3 linked regions of the Chlamydomonas reinhardtii genome follow. The main gene of each other region encodes a partner of the protein of the gene in region 3 in a complex. Links are inferred from orthologs where the notes say so. Each region holds a gene or a part of one and is shown on either strand. Other genes may lie near its edges.

Region 1 (3,743 bases), on a different chromosome or scaffold from region 3:
GCAGGTCGTCGTAAAACATCTGGGGTCAGAGCCGCGGGGTCAGAGATAAGTACCTAAGCGACGCTCAACAGGAGCACGCACAGGAGCACGCACAGGAGCACGCAAAGAGAACCTAAAGGCAACTTCTTGGGGTAGACGGGGCATATGACGGGTCAAGCCGCTGTTGTGCTTTGGCGCGCACCAGGAACTATCCTCTTCTGGTATGTGCGACAGGTTGCGGGGCAGGTGTGCAGGGTGGCAAGGCCCAACATGCACACGGTAACCCAACATGCGGGCAAACTGCGAATGAGGGCAAACACGCAATAGAGGTGTTGACCGGCGCATGGGGTGTCAGCGACGAGTACAGGCCGGGAGTTGCTGGCAGCGTGCACCGGGCCGGGACGGACACGTCCTGGGGTACACGCGCCCGCACACCCGCTGGTCCCAGTCGTGTCAACCCGCCGCACCTGGAAGTAGTAGTCCTGCTTCACGGCATCCCTGAACTTCTTTAAGTCACCAGCAGTGAGCGTGCGTTTGCAGAGCACCGCGTTCTCAACATCGGTGCGGAACTGCAGCTTGTAGGGAGTTGTCACCAACCGGTCGCCCTCAAGCACCTCGCCTAGGAATTCCGTCTTATACTCCTTGCCGTCAGTGGGCTGGCAGAACGGCAAGTTGTAATACTGGTACGTTTCCCTGCAAGGCAAGGAGCGAAAATCGCGCCGCGTTGGCGCGCGAGCTGGCACCGCTGGCTGCAGCAAAACTACTCACGTCGGGTTTTGAAAGGGTCCGACTTTGTTTGCATACAGCATGATGTCACTTCCGGGCTTGAATTTATGGTCGCTGCCCAGCAAGACTCGCTCCGATGCTACGAGGGCTACAGCGCTTCCGAGCAGCGCTGCCATCAGCAAGCTCGCGCGCAAGCGCGCCATACTGCCAAGTATACTTTGAGGCCTAGCCGCCCTCGTCAACGCGCAAGCTTTTGGCGACTGTTGCGACGATCCTAGTTCGAAACACAGGTGATGCTACTCGTTGTTGTTCAGCATAAGCACGAAGGTACAAGCGCGAAAAGTACAGCAGCAAACTGACATTTCAGGTCTGAGAGAAATTGCATTGCAAATGGAAGTGCGATCGGGCCCCGCATTGCAGCCAAACACACCCTGATCACTGTAGACATCGTGTAGTCGTATCGTTTACTCTTGTGTTTAGCTTTTGAAAAACAGGCTTTGCTTATAGGCACGGCGCCGCCGACTTAGGCCGCTGGTTTATTGCAGAGGCGCTGAAAAATGGAGGCCATCGCTCCTAAGCCGCATAAGGAGCTCGTGAAGACGGTGCAGCTTGAGGGTCAGGTGCTGCTGAAGATTATCCAGCATTGCACTGAGGCGCTGCCCCAGAACGTTACCGGCCAGCTGCTGGGCCTGGATGTTGGTCAACAGCTGGAGGTGACGGACTGCTTCGCGTTCCCGGTGAGCGCTGAGGATAGCAGGCGCTGAGGGCGCCAAGCGGACTTTTGGGCGGCCCCCAGATTGCTCGCGTTGTCGAGCACGCATAGCAGGGGAAAGTCGCGTGTATCAGCATATGCATATGCACAATAAAGATCGGCGATGGTGTGGGCCGGGTGTGTGCAGGCTACCGTGGCGGACGATGACTCCGAGGCAGAGTCGGCCGGCGCCAACTACCAGCTGGAGATGATGCGCTGCCTGCGTGAGGTGAACGTGGACAACAACACCGTCGGCTGGTGGGTGCAGTCAATGCGCGAGCTCGCGGGGGAAAGGAGAGGGAAGGAGTCAGGTGCAAAAGCAGAGGAGGGGGAGTTGACGTGGGGAAGCGCCCTTGGGAAGCGCCCCAAGGCGGGACGGTACCGTAGCACTCATGCTAGCCGCCGGGACATCAGCGGACAAGGGCATGTGCGCACTACATGAGCGGCACGCTAGCTGCGGCAACCACCGTGTATGAACCGCCTGTCAGAGTCCTTGCCTGCGGACACGAGGCCCGTTCGGCCGTTGGCGGGGCTCGAGACTGGCCTGGGGGCGACATGGCCATCAGCCACCCGCGACAGTACCGCAAGCAGAACCTCGGGGTAGCAGCCGCCGAGCATCTTCAGGGCTGGACCCGACTGCGCACCATGCGCTTGCCTACGAACCGTGCACCTGCCGGGCCGCACCCCACAGGTACCAGTCGGCCAACATGGGCACCTTCCAAACCGTGGAGCTCATAGAGACGTTCATCAACTACCACGAGAACATCAAAAAGTGCGTGTGCATCATCTATGACCCCCAGCGCTCATCGCGCGGCAGCATCGCGCTCAAGGCGATCCGCCTCAAGGAGTCGTTCATTGAGCTGAGCAAGGAGCAGAAGCTGACGCTCAAGGGCTTTCGCGAGGCCAACCTGTCGTGGCGTGATATCTTCGTGGAGCTGCCCATCCGCATCCGCAACAGCAACCTGGTGCAGGCGCTGGTGGCGGACCTGATGCCCGCCCCCACCGCGACCCAGGCGGACGTGGAGCGACTCAACCTGTCCTCGGCCCCCTTCCTGGAGCGCAACATCCAGTCGTTGCTGGAGTGCGTGGACGACATTGTGGCGGAGCAGCAGAAGGTGACCATGTACCACAAGAACGTGGCGCGCCAGCAGCAGGCGTACGCGGTGTGGCTGGCCAAGCGGCGGCAGGAGAACCAGCAGCGGCAGGCTGACAACCAGGAGCCGCTGCCGGAGGAGGACCCAAATCTGTTCAAGCCCATTCCCGAGCCATCCATGCTGGATAACTACCTGGTGACCAACCAGATCGCCACCTACTGCGACCAGGTCAACGTGGCGGCGGGCGAGACCATTCAAAAGCTGTTCCTGATGGAGGGCATGCAGAAGGCGGGGTTGTAAGCTCGAGGACCTGCGAGCGGAAGAGCAGGCGCTTGCTGGGGCTGCGGGCTCGGCTGTACAGACCCATGACCACGGGATGCAGACACGGGATGCAGGAGGATGGCACCGCTTATGATGGGTGCTGTCGCAGAGGCTGTGCTTGCAGGGGCCAAACATGAAGCGCGTAGTGTGTGCTGTGGGACTGTAGTGGTTTGAAGGCGGAAGGCGCTGTCTGGTGCAACTGCTCTACCGAGCACACCTACCAGTGGCATTAGTTATTAGGTGCTCAGTTTGAGGGACAAAGGGCGGGATGGGATTGGGTGGGGCGTTTGTGGTATGGCCGCGTTGAAGCACACACAGCTTGCGCTGTTTTGAGCGCGCCAGCTAGCGGCGCATAGGCAGACATGACGAGTGCAGAGTGTTGTTGCTCTAAGAGGGTGGACGTAACCAGTACACGATCAGACATTGTAGGAGGACTGCAGGAGTGCAAGTTGTGAGGTGTCGCTGTGTGCAACCCGCGGCAAGGTCCGTGACGGTTGACTCTCCTCGCGAGGGCGAACATGGGCGCACGTACAAGTAAGACAGCCCACATTCCCTACGCGGCAGGCTCTGCCTTGTCGGTATGTAAGCGTAACGGCATCTTCGCGCGTTCTCGTGCTCAGATATGTTAAGTGTGGTGCCCTCCGTTCATGACTGCGATGCGTGGGGTGGGTATGGGAGGTCGGTGTGCGTGGCTTAATACGGGAACATGGGACTGCGCCTCCCAGTGGCACCCCTGACGGCTCCTTCGCCAGCCTGCGCAGCCCCACAGTGCAACTGTCATTGCAGGCAAAGCCGCCGGCTTTGAGCAATGCGCCGACGCCATTTCTGCTTGTATTGGATTTGTAGGTATTAGCCTGAACTAAACCAAGGGG
Region 2 (3,743 bases), about 600 kb from region 3:
CGGCACCGGCGGCTCGGCTCCTACAGGCGGCAGCGAGTCTGGCGGTGCCAGCGGCCCTGGCGCGGGGGGCAGCGGCGGTGGCTCGCGCAGTGCAAGCGTCGCCGCTGCGGAGAACCTAGGCAGCACCGTCAAGGGGCTGCTGTCGTGGCTTGGCCAAGGCGATGGCTCCCGTTAAGCTCGCTACACGCCACCAGCAGCTGGCTACATAAGCGCCGTGTACTATTCCAGCTAGCCTCCTTTGTAATGGGGTGCCATACCGCCGAACAAAGTCAGTACAGTAACGCCTTCTGCGATGCCTTCGCATGCGTGTGCGGACCGCCCCAAGGCGGGGCACGGCTTCTCAACGAATGCCCTTCACGCACTCAAGTCTACAACCCGATGGGCATACCGGGATCCAACGGTCTTCTATCTAATGCCTAGAAGAGTCTGACAGTAATGGTTGTGTGTCATGCTGTCATGGTCGTGTCGTCAAGTAATTTCAGTAGTAGCGTTGATTTAAAAGCCCACGGTCACGGCCTTGAGCATGGGCGCCACCTGGTCGAAGCGGATGAGCTCCTGGGTGCGCTTCACGACCGACTGGTTGTCGTCGCTGCGGGCAGAACGCGGGCGTAATACAGGGCAGGAGGGCCATGAATGGCGTGAGCTTGTAGCACTTGGGGTACAACCCCAGTTTTTAGGACAATCTGATACTAGATAAGCACGATATGTAGGTGAGTGTTGATGGAGGAGGAGAGGTTGTTTGCGGGGTGTGCATTTCCAGAGTACAGGTGCGGCAGGATTGGAGGTGGGCAGGTGGACATGGGATGTCGCGGCGCTATCATGCCATGTGGCACAGGAGGCACCAAACATGTTACCATGTTCGATCAGCTGTTTCAGCTCTGCGTGCGCCCACGGTGTGCCCGCGTGCCCCGCTTCCCGGCCCCTCATCCTAGCAATGCCAGCAGACCCCGCCCCCTCCGCAGGCCAGTCCAGAATTCTGCGCCTGTACTCACTTCTTGGGGAGCCCCACCACCTCGCCAGCGGGCGTGTTGACAATGCTCCAGCCAGCCGACTTGCACTTTTCAGACAGCTGTGGTCAGAAGCAAGCAGCCAGCAGGCGCGTTTTTACCCTGATGCTAGCTGATGAGGCGCACTGGCGAAGGGACCTTCAAGCCGGCGTCACAATCTCCCACCCCGCCGTATGCACACAGCTTAACCCTTTCGCTCACGTCCTCAAGCGACGCTCCTCAACGCCTTTCTACCCAACCCAGCCCTGCTTACTGCGCACCATTCACATGTAAACGCACACGGAGACACTGCCGCCACCACGCCCCCCCATAAGAAACTCGTAAGCGCAATGCATCACTCACGTACTGCTCCAGCGTGGCGCCCTCCAGCTTTAGGCAGTCCGCCAGCGTGCGCTTGGTCACGCGGCCGTAGGTGTGCACCAGCGTGTGCGCGATGAAGCCGCGCACCGACTCGTAGAAGCCGGGGACTGCAGCAGAGCAGCAGATAGAGCTGGTTTAATTGGCATTCGTGACGTGTGGCAATCGGGGCGCCTCTGTTGCCTCTGATTCCGCATCCGTTGCCTTTAAAAACCCCTGCGTCCTAGCTGAGTGGCTCCCACTCCAGCCAGGTCCCCGTGCGCTGCACTTACTGCCGCCCAGCAGGTCGCGGCAGGTGTTGGCCGCGTTCCAGAAGTCGCCGAAGCGGCTGGTCTCCAGCGCGTTTGCGAGCTGCACCACCTTGTACACCGACTCGTCAGACTGCAGCAATGCAGGGTTCGTGCAACGGATGGAGCAATAGTGGAACAGGAGAGGTGTGGAAACAGCCATGAAGGTGCCACAGCATTCCCCGCGTGTCTTGGGCGGCACCCCACGGTGCGGCCCCTAACCCACCCCACCCACCCCCTCCCCCAGGCCCTGACGCTTTAAACGCCATTCCACTGCACTTCGCACACCTGCAGCAGGCGCTCTGGAAGCAGCGTGATGCAGCATTTGTAGTCCTGCGCGGGCGCCTGCATGATCGCCTTGATAAGCACCTTAGCGACAATGGCAGGCTTCACGCTGGCCGGGCTGAACTGGTAGAAGCGCAGCAGCGTAACATTAGCATCCAGGCTCCATGAGCGGTTCGCGACCTGCAGCAGTGCAGGACGCTTTCAGCGCAAATTGCCGCCGCCGAGCATGTGTCGCCGTGCTGGCACCAAGGGGCCAGGGGACTAAACGGGCTGCTAAGAAATACAGATCTACCTGCTCATCAACATACGCCTCAAGCTGTGGCAGCTTGTCCGGCGAGTAACGATCAGCACCAGTCACGATAAGAGACATTTTAACTGGTATGTAAAGAAAGGAAGTGTCAACGTAAAAGAAAACCAAGACAAGTGGATGCTCACCCTGGGATGCGACGCTGCGATGGCCGATGATGGGGCTCCGAAGCGGTAGAATCCACTCTCTAGTCTGTGAAGTGCAACGATACTGCATGAGCTACGAACGTAAAGCTGTATACACGCACTGGGAAACTGATTTCTTGCATAGCGCGCGTCTCGACAGCTCGCCAAGCTCTCTCCCTGCTCCGAACACGCCGCGAACCCCACAATTATCGCGTGCTTTAGGAGAGACTGTCGCGCCTTGAGCGGCTCTGCAGGGGCCGGGCGCTCGAGCGATCAAGAGGAGCGTCGTGCGCCAGCCCCGCCCTTCGCGTCCTGTCACCTTCCACAATGCTCCTCCGGTTGCGGCAGGCGCTGCCGCTGCTGCAGACCTTCAACAGGTGGTCTGCAATAGCACCTATCCCCAGATTCCGCAGCTTCCCCGCTGCCTCGTCTGCCGCTGATAGCGACAGCGCCCTGCCAGCGGTAGACGGTGCCAGCGGCGAGCCGCCCAAGCCCAAACGCACTCGCCGGGCAACCTCCGCGGCCGCCGCCGTGCCCAGCGGCAGCAGCGATGATGTACCAGTGGCAAAGAAGCGGGCTAGCCGCAAGACCGCTGCCACTGACAGCGCGACTGAGGCAGGGCTGGACCCCTCGTCTGGGCCGAGTGAGGACGACGCCGAGGCGGCAGCGGCTGTGCCCAAGAAGCGTGCCTCGTGCCGCAAGGCGCAGGCTGCCGAGCCGGGCGAAGAGGCCGCTGCTTCAGCATCCGGAGTAGCAGAGGTTGGAGGTGATAGCGCAGCTGCAGCAAAGCCAAAAGTTACGCGCACGCGTCGCACTAAGGTAGCAGCCGAGACAGTTGCAGAGGGGGGCCCGGAAGCGGCGGCGGCTCCTGATGGGGAACTGCAGGCGCCCAAGAAGCGCGTATCCAGACGCAAAGCTGCCGTGAAATCATCATCCCAGGAGGATGGAGAGGAGGAGAGCATTACCATACGGAGTGAGTGGGTCTGCGCCCTTGCGCTTGCTCGCCATCAGGTGCTGCCAGCAGCGTTCTACTCTCCACTACTGCGAAGCCCGTTCCTGCACCCTTGTCACCCTTTCCTGCGCCCTGCGCGCCGTCCGTCCTCCTCACTCTCATCTCTCCCCAACGCCCACCCGCTGCCGGACTGCCCCGCGCCCAGGCCTGCCGTACGAGGAGTGCCTCGTGCTACCGCGCCAGGCTGAGGCGCTGCTGGTGGTGCTGGGGCTGCGGCCGCCCGCCTACACACACGAGCCCGCGCCCGAGGGCTCCTCCTCCGCTTCCACCTCCTCCTCCCGACGCGCTTCCGCGCCTGGCACGCCGCTGCGCAACGTGCTGGAGCTGGCGGAGTTTGAGGGGCGGCCCAAGCTGGACCGGTAT
Region 3 (3,743 bases):
CGCGAATGCACCGCCTCCCTAGCACGAGACAGCCCATCCAATGAGCTCACCCGAACAAGCGTTGCCGAGTCCGTGCCAGCCGCGGCTGCACAGCCCCCCGGCACGCGCTGCTGCTGGCGCGCGCGAACACACTGCCAAGGGGGCGACCCCCCCGTCTCACGTCGCTGAACAAGCATGCCCTTGCGCCCCGCCCATGGGATAATCGTGCAGCTGCTGCAAATTCCAGCCGCCGCGCTCCTACCGCCCTTCACTGTATTGCAAAGCCGCTGTCGCCCGTCTACGTCACTGCTCATCTCATCAGCACCTTCGAACGCCGCTCGCCAGCGCTGTCCCACACCCGCTGCCGCGCCCTCCGCCCAGCGCTCCTGGTCTGATCCGTGCAGCAGCCGTCGCCAGCGCTCCCACGCTTGCTGCTGTAGAAAGCTGCCCATCCCGCAACGGAATCCCGTAACTCAAAGCTCGCTGCTGTCGTGAATCGCCTGCCGAAGCGGCAGACCGCGCCCTGCACACCGCTGTCGTCCACAAGCAAGCCCGCAATCTACAAGGCAAAAGGGAATGATGGATGGCGATCAGAGCTTGAGGTAAAGTGATTCCTCGTCACGTCAACCTTTCGAACCTCTTCGCAGTTCCCAGGGCTTCTTCCGTATCAACCGGCGAATTGTTGCACGTCCGTTACCAGGCCGCGGGTCCCCTTCCTTGCCATGCCGCGTGCGGAGCACCGCTGGAACTGGGCCTAGCAGCCGTCTGCCCAATGCAATTGCTACCCCATCTACCAATCCCTTAGGAATCCAGCACTCTTCACCTCCAGAGCTTGCCTTTCTATTCCACCCCATTCCCGCCAATACCAAGCCCCAGACGACCCCCTGGCCCACATGCATCCCCGCGCCCCCGCCAACCCCATCCCGCCCGCCGCCATGGCTCCAACTCCCACCTGCTTGCTGCTCCTCCTCCCCCGGCTGCTGCTCGCCGCGGTGCCTTACGGCTTGACGCTGCCCACCACGGTGTTGGCCAGCACGTAGGTGCGCACGGACAGCATCTTGGCCTTGTCCACCAGCTGCTCGTGCACGGACTGCGACTGCGTGCCCATCACCACCGTCCCCGACTTGGAGTCAATCTTGGCGTTCAGCTTGGCGTTGAGGATGAGGTTGGCAATCCACTTCTCCGCCGCCTCCTGGTCCATGCCCAGCCGCTCCGCCAGCAGCGCAATGGAGATGGACTGGTGTATCCGGCAGTACGTCTCGAAGATGAACAGGCGCGCGTTCTCAATGAACTCGTCCTTGTAGGCCGCCAGGAAGAAATCGTTGTCCAGCACCGCCTCGCACTCCTTCAGCTTCTGCTGGGCGCCGTCGAAGTCGTAGTGCACGAACACGCACTCCAGGAACTGGGTCACTGGGTCCGAGTACTCGTACGACTCCTGCTGGATGGCGCGGATGAGCTCCTTCAGCACGCTGCGCTGCTTCTTCTTGTTGATGACCACAGCCACCGCCACGTAGCGCAGCAGGTGCGGCGCGTTGATCTGGATGGCGGAGATGTAGGCTGGGGAGAGGAACAGGTCAATGATGTCGTTGCGGCCGTTCTCATGGTTCCAGAAGACGTACAGGGACCAGTGCAGCAGCCAGGTGCGCTGCTGCAGCTGCACCAGCGGGGGGGCGAACGTCTGGTTGTCGATGACCTCCTTCAGCTTGAACACGTCCTCCCGTGCCTCCTGGATGTTCACCGCCTCGTGCATGAGGATCTCCGCAGCGAGCTTGCCCCACAGTGCGCTGATGTTGCGCTCGCTGTTGGTGCAGAGCGTGCGGTAAGACTGCAGCAGCTCCGCCGCCAGCGAGTAGTTACCGCAGTTGAACTGGAAGCGCGCGTACTGATACAGCGCCTCGACGTGCTCCGCGCCAATCTGGAACTCCTCCTGGAGGAACTGCAGGTTGAAGCTCTTATCCTGACGGAACTTCTCCACCACATGCCTGTTCTGCAGACACTTGATAATGGGGTCCACGTCCGCCTGCAGCTGGCGAAGACGCGCCACCACCTGGCTGCGGCGGTCCTTCATCTCCGCAGGCACCTCGTCCACGCCGTTTAGGCCCTTGTAGATATCCATCGCAAAATCCACCTACAACATCGAATTTTTCGCTCAGCGACCCGGACTCAAACTGGAAAGGCCGATGGCCTCTGCACTCGCTGAGCTGCCCTTCCCGCTTCCGGCATCCCCAGCCTGTCCAATAGCTCATTCCAAGTGCCAGGTCTCCAGATCTAAACACTAAGCGCGTACCATGTTCGTCTTGTCCAGCAGCGCCAGCTTGGCGCGCAGGATGTCGTCCTCATTGTAAAGGCCGCGCTCTTGGAGGTATTCCATAATAGGCAGCGTAAGGTGCAGGTCCAGATACTGGACCAGCTTGGAAGAAAGCTCATAGTTGGTGGCAGCCATCTTTCTCTCGGCGGCGGCTACGCCCCTTGCCTAGTCCTAAGGCCTGACCAGTCCGCTGTGAAACAATTATGGGGTGGGGGCTGCGGGAATGACAAAGGAACGGGCGATCTACGCCCCGGTGCGCAGCCCGCTCTCGCGCTGTGCCGGATGGGGGTCCGAGTGCCCATCGGCCTGGCCCGCTCAAAACGGGCTTTCGGACTCCGAACTAATACATAAGAGGTTAGGTGTATGTATAGATAGGGCATCGGCACATTTCCCTTTCTCTGTAGGGAAATGACGTGATCTCTATCGCCACACTCTTGCGTTTCTCTGCGCTTGCCTACGCGACTCTGGTGAGGGTTGCGGGAGCCCAGAAACAGCGCAGCCAATCACGAGACAATGGCGGCTCCGTCGGCGGTGGTCCTGCCGCCCTCCCCCAACTGGTAGGCGGAGTCGGGAGTCGGGAGCCAGCGTCCGTGCTTTGCCCACGCCGTTCGCTGCTCCTGTACTCTTGATGCGTTTTGCAAGTGGTGCAAGGGCTAGAGTGTCAGGCCTGTTCAAGCCAGTGCGCCCACGGGCCGCAAACCCGCATTCCGGAAGCAGGGGCCGGGGTCACAGCCGCACGCACTGTCAACCGCCGATTGCGCCGCGCTATGCCACATAGCTCGTAGCCCCTACATGTCAGACCACATCACACCCATTGGTAAGGTCACTGATGCGCCTCACATGCCCACAGGTTCAGCAGCCAGGTGGTGGCGGTGCTGCCGAGCCAGCAGCTGGTGGCGTATGGCGGCCACTACGCGGTGGTGGTGGCCTGCGCGCAGAGCCGCACCGTGCAGCGCATGCTGCCCACGGGCGGGAGCAGGTGCGCACAGCCTTGGGTTGCAAGGTAGTGGGTGGGCAGCGGGTGGGTCGGGATGATTGCGGGCAGCACATGCAATTTGCTGCCTGCGCTCGGCCTGCGTGTTGCTGAAGCCGCGACGCGGCCTTCGCACACATCTGGTGGCGCATGTCCTCACGTGCCAGCAACGTCCTGGCCCTGGCATAGCGAACAGCCACTGTAGTGGAACCCCAACATGCCGCTCAGGACTTGCTCGCAAGCGTGTCCCTGCCGCGGGCCTGTCGTGCAGAGTGACATGTGTGGCGTTGCCGCCTGAGAGCGTCGGTGGTCGCCCGCTGGTGGCGGCGGGCTGCGAAGATGGTTCGCTGAGGTGCTGGGACATGGTCAGCGGGGAGCCGGTGCGCACCCACCGCAAGGGCAAGGCGCCCGAGGTCACAGCGCTGGTGGCTTTGCCCAGGTGGGGCTCATGTCGGTTCGGACACTCGCAGGGTTACGGGGGCT

What was found.
Region 1: CHLRE_12g498100v5 (region 3) and CHLRE_16g676314v5 share a complex: the UniProt entries of both Arabidopsis thaliana proteins name them as parts of the eukaryotic translation initiation factor 3 (eIF-3) complex. The link is inferred for Chlamydomonas reinhardtii from reciprocal best matches to the Arabidopsis thaliana genes EIF3E and TIF3H1.
Region 2: CHLRE_12g498100v5 (region 3) and CHLRE_12g515650v5 share a complex: the UniProt entries of both Arabidopsis thaliana proteins name them as parts of the eukaryotic translation initiation factor 3 (eIF-3) complex. The link is inferred for Chlamydomonas reinhardtii from reciprocal best matches to the Arabidopsis thaliana genes EIF3E and EIF3K.

The regions. Positions count from the first base shown.
Region 1 is NC_057019.1:3,507,649-3,511,391, forward strand, and holds CHLRE_16g676314v5 (uncharacterized protein), read left to right. Parts: upstream 1-1,166; 5' UTR 1,167-1,262; coding exon 1,263-1,442; intron 1,443-1,604; coding exon 1,605-1,714; intron 1,715-2,147; coding exon 2,148-2,850; 3' UTR 2,851-3,469; downstream 3,470-3,743. Other genes in the region: CHLRE_16g675958v5 (uncharacterized protein), read right to left, coding at 1-19, 447-672, 748-788. UniProt on the Arabidopsis thaliana protein: Component of the eukaryotic translation initiation factor 3 (eIF-3) complex, which is involved in protein synthesis of a specialized repertoire of mRNAs and, together with other initiation factors, stimulates binding of mRNA and methionyl-tRNAi to the 40S ribosome.
Region 2 is NC_057015.1:3,875,709-3,879,451, forward strand, and holds the start of CHLRE_12g515650v5 (uncharacterized protein), read right to left. Parts: upstream 2,335-3,743; 5' UTR 2,307-2,334; coding exon 2,229-2,306; intron 2,117-2,228; coding exon 1,940-2,116; intron 1,746-1,939; coding exon 1,637-1,745; intron 1,475-1,636; coding exon 1,350-1,474; intron 1,070-1,349; coding exon 993-1,069; intron 590-992; coding exon 496-589; 3' UTR 1-495. Other genes in the region: CHLRE_12g515700v5 (uncharacterized protein), read left to right, coding at 2,696-3,341, 3,526-3,743. UniProt on the Arabidopsis thaliana protein: Component of the eukaryotic translation initiation factor 3 (eIF-3) complex, which is involved in protein synthesis of a specialized repertoire of mRNAs and, together with other initiation factors, stimulates binding of mRNA and methionyl-tRNAi to the 40S ribosome.
Region 3 is NC_057015.1:3,278,775-3,282,517, reverse strand, and holds the start of CHLRE_12g498100v5 (uncharacterized protein), read right to left. Parts: upstream 2,500-3,743; 5' UTR 2,423-2,499; coding exon 2,267-2,422; intron 2,108-2,266; coding exon 977-2,107; 3' UTR 1-976. Other genes in the region: CHLRE_12g498150v5 (uncharacterized protein), read left to right, coding at 2,801-2,844, 3,138-3,266, 3,532-3,699. UniProt on the Arabidopsis thaliana protein: Component of the eukaryotic translation initiation factor 3 (eIF-3) complex, which is involved in protein synthesis of a specialized repertoire of mRNAs and, together with other initiation factors, stimulates binding of mRNA and methionyl-tRNAi to the 40S ribosome.